Linked DNA regions of Drosophila melanogaster. Changing the gene in region 1 together with any one later gene gives a genetic interaction. Each region holds a gene or a part of one and is shown in the gene's direction. Other genes may lie near its edges.

Region 1 (5,212 bases):
TCAAAGTGGGGTCTAGATAAAACTATGAAATCAATTGCCAACTTTTGCAGCGTCACTATCCCGATGACCTTGAAGTGCCCCCAACTCACCCCTCTTGAAGTGCTTTTGCGGCAGGGCCATTTTGTTAACAATTTTAAAATAATTCCCAAGACGTGAAATGTTGGTGGCAAAGTAGTTCCGATCGACTGACAACAAATAGAGGGATTCCGGTACCTTATAAAGTGGTCGCAGTCGCCGGACGAGTGAATTTATCGAATATATTTCGATTGTTGAGCGGGTGAATTTAAAATTCTTAAGCTCATATTTAAGAAAATTGTTTGACCACATATTAAAGACTACAAACGACTACTCTAAGATAAGTATTTTCATATCCATTTATCATTCATACCTTCATTAATCTAATTCTAAAACAAACGTACTTACAACCCGTATAAACAATGAAAATGCAAAGATTTATTTTTCAATCACAATAATGCTGCCGTAGTAGGTACATGTGTTACATGTTATATGTGCAAAAGGTACAATGCTGAAGTGGAAACGCCATCATCCCGTAGACTACCCCAATTTGACACGTTTGGCCTCATTGCTAGAAACGAGAAATGGATCAGTCACACATTATATGTATAATCTTCAAATCTTACTATAGCATATTATAATCGGCCTGGCCCGATCGCCGGGAGTTCATGTATTTGGCATGGGTCTGTCCATCCAGATAGAAACACTTGACAGCACGATCCTGGATCATCAAGTCGCGCCACTTAATCTGCAGTAGAACAATCTCGGTAATTTAAAAGACATAATTAGAAAACCAATAGGACCCACCAAAGTGGGAAAACGTTCCGGACTCAATTCGAATTTTTGTTCAAAAGTGTATTTCAGAGAGTCAAAGCGCTCGCACCAGGGCCACATCATGTAGTCAAGCATGCCTGGGCTGTCGCCACCAAAGAACTTGGTACAACGTCGCTTCAGTTCCTCCTCATAAACGACCAATCCGGCATAGTGATCGGTGTCAACCAGCTGCTCGGGATTGTCGTGCAGCAACAGGTAGTAGAAGGCATTGATGAACTGTCCGAAACGTTCGATTAAAATCTTCTCCTGGGCTTTTTTAAGCAGATCCTTGGGATACAATGGCACCTCCGGATACTTTTCGTCCAAGTAGTCACAAATAATGAGCGACTCGATCAGCACAGGATTTCCCTGTTCCTTGACCAGCTCCAGTGCCGGCACCTTTGTGGAGCTGCTCACCAGGGAGAACCACTCGGGTTTGTCGCGAAGATTGATGTAGATAGCGTGGTAGGGAATCTTTTTGGCATCCAGGACCAGGTGCACACGGTGTGCATAGGGGCAAAAGCGCATCGAATACAGCTTTAAGATCCCATCATCCGGAAATACGGGCTTTGGCGAGCCTGCAATATATATGCGCCTTTTAAATGTGAATTTGGAACTTAGTAACTTATACTAACCAATAGTTAAGTGCTGAGTATTGCTCATATTGGCAATACAATTTTTTCTGGAAAGGAACACAACCTGTTTTGCGGGTTATGACAATTATCGATATTTGACAGTAAACGTTAAGGTGGCTCGATAACGTATTGTCTTTTTACAGGATTGATGTATTTTTAATCAATTATTATTTAATCGGTTTAAAAAAATCTATCTTAATCTTAAATATTAATTTTTACAACTTTAATTTTTTTAAATATAATTCAGTCATCTATTCATCTATTATTTAGGACTTTAATTTCAATAATTTATGGTTATATATCCATAATAGACTATTTGCATCACTGCTCCAAATACATATTGTATATACATAATTAATCTAAAATCAATTTATATTTATCGTTTTTAATATTTGCTGCAAGAGGTTACATTGATCGCCATCGATGTGTAGCGTTGATAGCAACGGAACACCGATACCTATCGCGGATGATTCGGTGTTTTTCCACATCCCTACCGCCTATCGATAATTGTTATAACAAAATTGTTTTAGTTGCGGATTTCTTGTGTTTGGCGGTGTGAGCGAAAGAGAGATGGCTGCTGCGGCATATGTTTAGCGTGTCCGGAAAATGTTTACAGTAAGCTCGCCCTTGCGTAACTGAGCCCGTGTTGGTGTTGGTGGCCGCATCCCGTACTCCGTATCCCGTGCAAATCTCGCCGCTCCATGCGGACTCGCTTCGATTCGATTTCCCGTGCCAAACCGAGATTATTGCAACGTAATTGACACTCGGCGTAATCTCTACGGCCTCTTTCATTCACGCCCACCGCATCGGCAAAAGCTATAGCTCCCAGAATCGTCCAGCATTATCTTCGATCCCGCAATAACTCTAGTGGGAATTGTGTGAGTGTGTGTTACAGTGTGCGATGTGCTAAACAGTCCGGCAAATTTACGGGTGAGTTAGTAGTGGGCTTGCATTAATTATTCGCCTTTGTTTAATCTTGGCATAAGTTCGTTCAGAATGGAAAGTGCATGCGACGCGCCCCCATTCCACCTCCCACCGCCCAAAATCCACCCACCACCACCCACTCGTATTTATTTATAGCGGGACATTTCCATGTGCGTGTGATTTTGACACCCGCTCACTTACATCCATATGTATTTGTTGTACACACACATACGCAGATGCACACGTAACTACACTGATATTCAGCACGTTTTTATGCTATTTTCGATCGACATCATCAATGTGTTCTATACATAATTCAGCGCAATTCTGATACCATTTCCATGCTCGCTATCTTCAGAGCCTAATTACGCAAAATCAATGGAATTAGTGTTATCAAACGGGCCAGAATGCTTATCATCCACTGGCGGGGCTAGATAAGATTTCAAGGGGGAAGACAACGTGGATGAGTCTTCACATCGCGTATGCTTTATCTCTAGCATTCTCTCTATTTAAATCAATAGACTTATCCAAACGATCATAGTTACAATTACAATCCACGTGTTCGACGTACACAGCTTACATTTTGCGTAAATAAATACTCTTATCACCTTACACATAACGTCATTAGATTTTATATTTGTATTGCGCATTGAGGGATATGAAATATTTAAGTTGTATTCCGGATGCGTAACCCCCTTTGGAAGCCGTCACTGTTATCGCCACTGACCCATATATCAACATGTGTTCCTTTCGCACTTTTGGCTGCCTTCCACATAGTTCTGTTGTTTTTGTCTTTTTTTTTTTAGAAGTGTAGGTGGTGCATGAATCATAGATAGTGGTGCCGGTGGTGGCCAAAAGGGAAGCATCCTTATCGGGCGCGAACTTTTCCATTTCTCCGCCAAACGCCCGCCGCCAATCAATTATTCATGAGCCAGCGTAATTTGCAAAAATTGATATGTATATTTGCAAATAAAAAAAAATGCAATATCAGCTATGAATGCCTTGCAACCAGGCGCCAACAACTGAGGCAGCCAACCATTTCAGCAACCAACAACTCAATACGGAAAACAAACGTTTCTCGGCGATCCACGATCATTTCGATGCCCCCAGATGAATTATTTATCGCATATGGCCAGCCCTTCAACATCAGTTATGTGTCACTTGGTGGGTCGTACTAGCTGAATACTAAACCGGCCAGCCAGCCAGCGTACATAGTATGTAATTCAGCAGACGGCGAGCATGGCAAGGTCAGAGCCTCGTTCCGTACGGATTTGATCCAATCGGATTGGATCCGTAGCTGTCCATTCGGATTCCGAGACCGAGTCCGAATCTGAATCCGACGTGATTGACCTCAGCTTAGTCTAGTTGTGTGTACTTGGCTTCTACCCATCCAGAACTTCAGTTCCATGTGGCCATCACATGACGCGAGGTTTTTCATATCTTCCTAAACACACTGCTGAAATTTCACATCAAGCTTTGGCTTATGAAAAGGTAGAAACCAAAAAACAAAAAAAAAAAAAGATAATGCCCAAATTTGTGTGTGTATGTATGTGCTTGGATTCTTGGGTACACCTTTTCGCAGGTTATTTCGCTGAAGTTTCAGGTATGAATTTCGTGTTTGTGTTGCGGCCAAGATAAAAGATAAATTGCTCAGCAGGTAGAGAGACGATCTGGAGATGTAGATGTACGGTGGAAATTTCAGGCTAAACAAACTGTAGATTGTGCATAGTAGTTGTTCATAAATCTTGCGAGGAGTTCTACGAGTACGTTTCTAGATTTAATTTCGCAGTTTAAGGTTGTGACATGTATAAAACGAGATATTATGCAGTGTCAGGGGCCTAAAAACGTGGAGATACCATGTATGTACATATCATGTGAAATTTACTCATCAAGTTTTATCTATTGAACTTTGAGCGATCGCGTGTTCAATTTTAGGCTTTTTGTGCGGATGTCATGCGAAATTTGATTGTGCGATCGAAGCATAAAATGTGGAATGGGTTCCAGGAATTTTGAGTATATGAAATTGAGATTTAATGTGAAATTTCATGATGTTGACTCATCGAAAAGTAATCAGAACGTTTTGGAATTTCACAATTTGCGAAATGAGACCCACCCTTATCCTGAAATTTCAGCATGGAGATCTTTTGCGATGCCAAACGAATTTATGTGGAGGTTCTATGTATATGAAATTCATTTATGCTGACTCAGCTGCATAAGCTTTCCGCATCTAAAAAGGGTTACTCTGCGGAAATTTAATCCGTATGGGACAGCACTATTCGTTGGAGATATCATGCGAAATTTTGGTGTACACATGGAATTCAGAGAGCAGCGAGTTCAGTGACTTGCCGACTATACAATTACCACGAGAATTCGGAAAAAACAGACGCGTGCGATTTTCGATATGGAGATGTTATGCGAACTAAAGTCGATTCAGCAAATCTAATCGTACGTTTTTGGTACAGTAGCCTCTCGATATGTACGATTTTAAAGTGCAATTTTAAACAATAAAAACAAAGCAGTTTTTCCTAAAGTTTATTTATTTATTTATATTGAAAAAATAGTAAGTAAATTTAATAGAAGTACTAATAGTACTTTCAGATTACATTTTTTTAAAATTCTCAGACCACCAGATTGCAATGGTAAAATAATTAAATTATTGAAGGCTGGCCAAAAAATTATTTTTTTTTTAAATTAATTAGTTTGAATGGAATAAAAATAATAATACGTTGATCTGCTAAAATATTGACGTTTTAATTAGATCTTAGTTCGAACCGCATTAAGTATTTTGGCTAAGAGCTCAAAATTAAGATGGAATCATTGAGTTC
Region 2 (4,096 bases), on another chromosome or scaffold:
GCACATTGCTCGGCCAACTTAAGTCGAAACCACTAAGCCCTTAATATGTGTAAATATTCGACAATTCGCCGATACCTTCCACTAACTGAATAGATATCAATTCCACTATAAAAAGTGAATGGCTTGATATCGGGCCAGTTACTCCGTTTGCAATGGTAGACCAACACTTAATCGTGGCCAAGATCGTGGCCATAGTGGTGCTCTTCCTCGTTACCCTGATCTTCTGCTTTATTCCCTATCTTCTGGATCGCTTCTACAAGTGGACCCAGAGGCCCGAGAACAATGCTCGCGAATTCAAAGTGGTGCTGTGTCTGCTTAATTTCGGTGGAGGGGTTCTCATAGCCACCACCTTCATCCACATGCTGCCGGAGGTGGTCGAGGTGGTGAACGCTCTCCAGGACTGCCGCATGCTGGCCCCCACTCCCTTCGGCCTGCCGGAGGTTCTGCTCTGCACTGGCTTCTATCTGATGTACTGCATTGAGGAAACCATGCACTTTGTGGTTCGTCGGCGGCAGCAAAGGAAGCTACGGGAGGTGGTCACGATCAAGGATGCGGGCGAGGAGCTGCGGACAGAGATTGTGGTCCAGCCAGAAGAAAGCCCCAAGGAGCCCAACTGGCTGCGTGGCCTCGGAATAATCGTGGCCCTCTCCCTGCACGAACTCTTCGGCGGCATGGCCATTGGCCTGGAGATGAGTGTGAGCACGGTGTGGTTCATGACCGGAGCCATTTCCGTCCACAAGCTTGTTCTGGCCTTCTGCATCGGCATGGAGATCATGATGGCCCATACCCGCTGGCTGCTGGCCGTGGTTTACCTCCTCGTCTTCTCGATCGTAACTCCGATTGGCGTGGGCATCGGAATTGCAGTTAGCGAATCTGCCGCGGCTAATCAGCCCAGCACGGTATCAGGAATCCTCCAGGGGCTGGCCTGTGGCACCCTCATCTACGTGGTCTTCTTTGAAATTGTGGCCAAAAACCATGCCGGCATACGCATTTTACTCTCGTCGATGGTGGGATTCGTCCTGATGTTTGGCCTCCAGATAGCAAGTAAGCATACTAAAAAGCCCAAATGACTGAAAAACCAAATTACCACTCTTATTATTTCAGTTGGAGAGGCCAAAGGGAAGAGCCATTTCACATGCCCCTAGGGTATACTCGAATTTTATATGAAAACAATTAAGCCTATAGAGAAATTCAAAGAAACTACCGAAAAATAAAGCGTGGGCTTTTTGGCTTTATAAATATGGGGAAAGAGGACGGCAAGGTCAGGTCATCGACCATGAGATACCCTTTAAACGCCCTTCTGCGAGGGAAATTTATAAGTGGCATCAACAAAAGGACATTCTCCGAGTGCGCACATTAGCTCCACCTACCGGTTGCTACATACTAATTACCAAATTGCCCATAACTTTTAAATAAATGATCCGATTCGAACAACTTTTGGCATGGAAGTTTCTGCATTTATCACACCTTTATTTTGATAAATGTAAATTTATTTTATAAACAAATTTAGTAAAATTAAAAAACAAGCGTGGCGAAATCATCTGATCCTGGTCAAGAATATTTACATATATGGCTAGAATCTTTTTAACTTTTTAAAAAATGTGCTGCGATTTTAATTCCATGCCTGCAATCCTTACCATATAAACCTAAGATGAGACCGCCTTGGATGGACAAATAAATTATCTCAGTGTATCAATAATAATAATATTCGGGAAATACTTCCGAAGTTCCTGCACATTACGAAACTTCCCTCAATCATAAAATTCGCAAAGAACAGACGGCTATGGTTCGGTTATCGGTGGGCCGACGAGAGACACCTGTCCAGGGGACGGCGAATTGATAACAATACTAGGCTGCGAGGCTTGCCCGCTGTCTGCCAGTGAATCCGCGTATCAATCAGCGATCAGATTTCAATCGGCTCCCGCTGATATATGACTGGAAATATAAACCATTAGCCTGGTTGTGAGTTCCAGCCAGCACAGTCGAAGCTATCAACTCGGGAGGTGAAGATGAGCGCTACCGCAACTATGTCACAAGAGCAAACGCAAGACGTGGATCACCATGCGCTGCTGGTGGCCAAAATAGTTTCCATGGTGGTGCTCGTGGTGATCACCGTGCTTTGCGGCAGCCTTCCCTACGTCCTGAACAGGTGCTTCCATTGGACGAAGGCGAGTCCGGAGGAAACCCGCTCGTCATTGGTGGTGCGGTGCCTACTCTTTTTCGGCGGCGGTGTGCTCATCTGCACCACCTTCCTGCACATGCTGCCCGAGGTGATCGAGGTGGTGGAAGCGCTCCAGGAATGCGGCTCGCTTGTCAAGACGCCCTTCGCTCTGGCGGAGATGCTGCTGTGCACGGGCTTTTTCCTGATGTACGCGTTGGACGAGCTGATGACCAGCCTCGTGCGGCACCACCAGGGAAAGCTTAGTCGGAAAGAGTCGGTGGCCAGTCTGGCTTTCGAAAGAGGACGCAGCATTCGTCACAGTGTTCTCCTCAATCCACAGGCGAAGGAAGAAGTGGAAGTTAAGGATACGGAACCGCAGCCACACAAGGATCACCACGGCCACTCGCACATGCCCGTGCCAGCGGACGATGGATCCTCTGCCAGGGGGCTGGGCATTATCCTCGCCCTTTCGCTCCACGAACTGTTCGAGGGCATGGCCATTGGTCTGGAGGGCACTGTGAGCACTGTGTGGTTCATGTTTGGAGCGGTCTCCGCCCACAAGTTGGTGTTGGCCTTCTGCGTGGGTATGGAGCTTCTGGTCGCCCGCACACGCAGTTCGCTGGCCATCTTGTACCTGGTGACATTCTCCATTGTTACACCCATCGGTATCGGTGTTGGCCTCGGCATCAGCCAGCAGGTGGCAGCGGGTCAGCCCAGTCTGCCATCCGGAGTCCTCCAGGGCATCGCCTGTGGAACCTTGCTGTACGTAGTCTTCTTTGAGATCCTCATTGAGAGCCATGCCGGATGGAGGGCCCTTGTGGCCGCCGTTGCGGGATTCGCTCTAATGTTTGGCCTTCAAATTCTTTGTGAGTTACAACTGTTTGACATTAACGGTAGGACCGGCTTTTTAGCTTCCATTTCTACTTTTTGTCTCTTTTACAGCTGACGAAGCGGAGGGTGATGACAGCCTAACCTGTTCCTAGCCAGTGTGACGCCACTTCAGTATTATCAAGTTATAGAGGAAGCAACAAAATAGTATACAAAACGATTCCCTGGGGATCTGTAAAAGTTATTATATAAAATACGAATAGAATTTCAAAAGAGGTTTCTCAGAAATCTTATCCAACGCAAATAATTAAAAATGTAATAACCATATGGATTAAAAGAGACAATATTTTACTTTATATTCAGCTAGTGAGGCTCTTTAAGCTTTTTATAAATTTTAATATATTACGTATAAGAGCGTCTATCCAAATATTTTAATCACCTCTTCATAAATTAGTTTGATCTTACTGCGCGTACGCTTCATAACCAACATTATCGATAAAGTTGGCGGTTCATTCTCATTAACAGAGGGCTTAATCGAACATCTGTGGGGTAACGTAACAGTGTTTCACGCTAACAGTACCCAAACAACATTATTCGCGCGCGGGCACTATCGATAACTTCATATCGCATTAAAATTACAATTGTTTAACTTTCTTAGGTAAGCAGCAACTGTTAATATTTAATGGGAATCATGTTGTAAGTCGCTGTAACTCTGTTTTCTGAAACTACAACTTTTCCATATTTCGATACATGCTATCGAAATTTCCACCCTCGACGGGCTGCATTAACAGCCGCTGTTACGGCAACGGTCAGATGATGTTCCAATTGGAGTGCGAACGGACGTGTGGTGCTAGTGTGGTGGACTATACGACTTTTCTATATTTTTAAGGGCCGCGGCAGTAGAGATAGCCTATTTTTCTCGCGACAGAGCGTGTTAAGTAATCAATTGAAATCCAGCGATTGGGTGAATCGAAAGTTCCTCCCCGATTCCCGACTCCTGCGTGCATTTGAAGCACTTACAGCCGCGATTTCCGCACTCGGGTGCACTGTGCTTTTGTTTATACGACCTCCGGTCGCCCCACATTTTCTGTTGAACTTGTGCCGCCG

What was found. Genes that interact genetically often act in the same process or in processes that back each other up.
Region 2: of foi (region 1) and Zip42C.1, changing one suppresses a phenotype caused by changing the other (phenotypic suppression), as found in Drosophila melanogaster (one study listed by BioGRID).

What each region holds. Positions count from the first base shown.
Region 1 is NT_037436.4:8,523,312-8,528,523, forward strand, and holds the start of foi (fear-of-intimacy), read left to right. Parts: upstream 1-1,932; 5' UTR 1,933-2,393; intron 2,394-5,212. Other genes in the region: GstO2 (glutathione S transferase O2), read right to left, coding at 90-120; GstO1 (glutathione S transferase O1), read right to left, coding at 556-586, 642-763, 823-1,406, 1,464-1,491. UniProt on the Drosophila melanogaster protein: Required for the normal migration of longitudinal and peripheral glial cells. During larval development, required for the migration of the subretinal glia into the eye disk.
Region 2 is NT_033778.4:6,715,590-6,719,685, reverse strand, and holds Zip42C.1 (Zinc/iron regulated transporter-related protein 42C.1), read left to right. Parts: upstream 1-1,978; 5' UTR 1,979-2,009; coding exon 2,010-3,027; intron 3,028-3,103; coding exon 3,104-3,144; 3' UTR 3,145-3,344; downstream 3,345-4,096. Other genes in the region: Zip42C.2 (Zinc/iron regulated transporter-related protein 42C.2), read left to right, coding at 153-1,044, 1,105-1,145.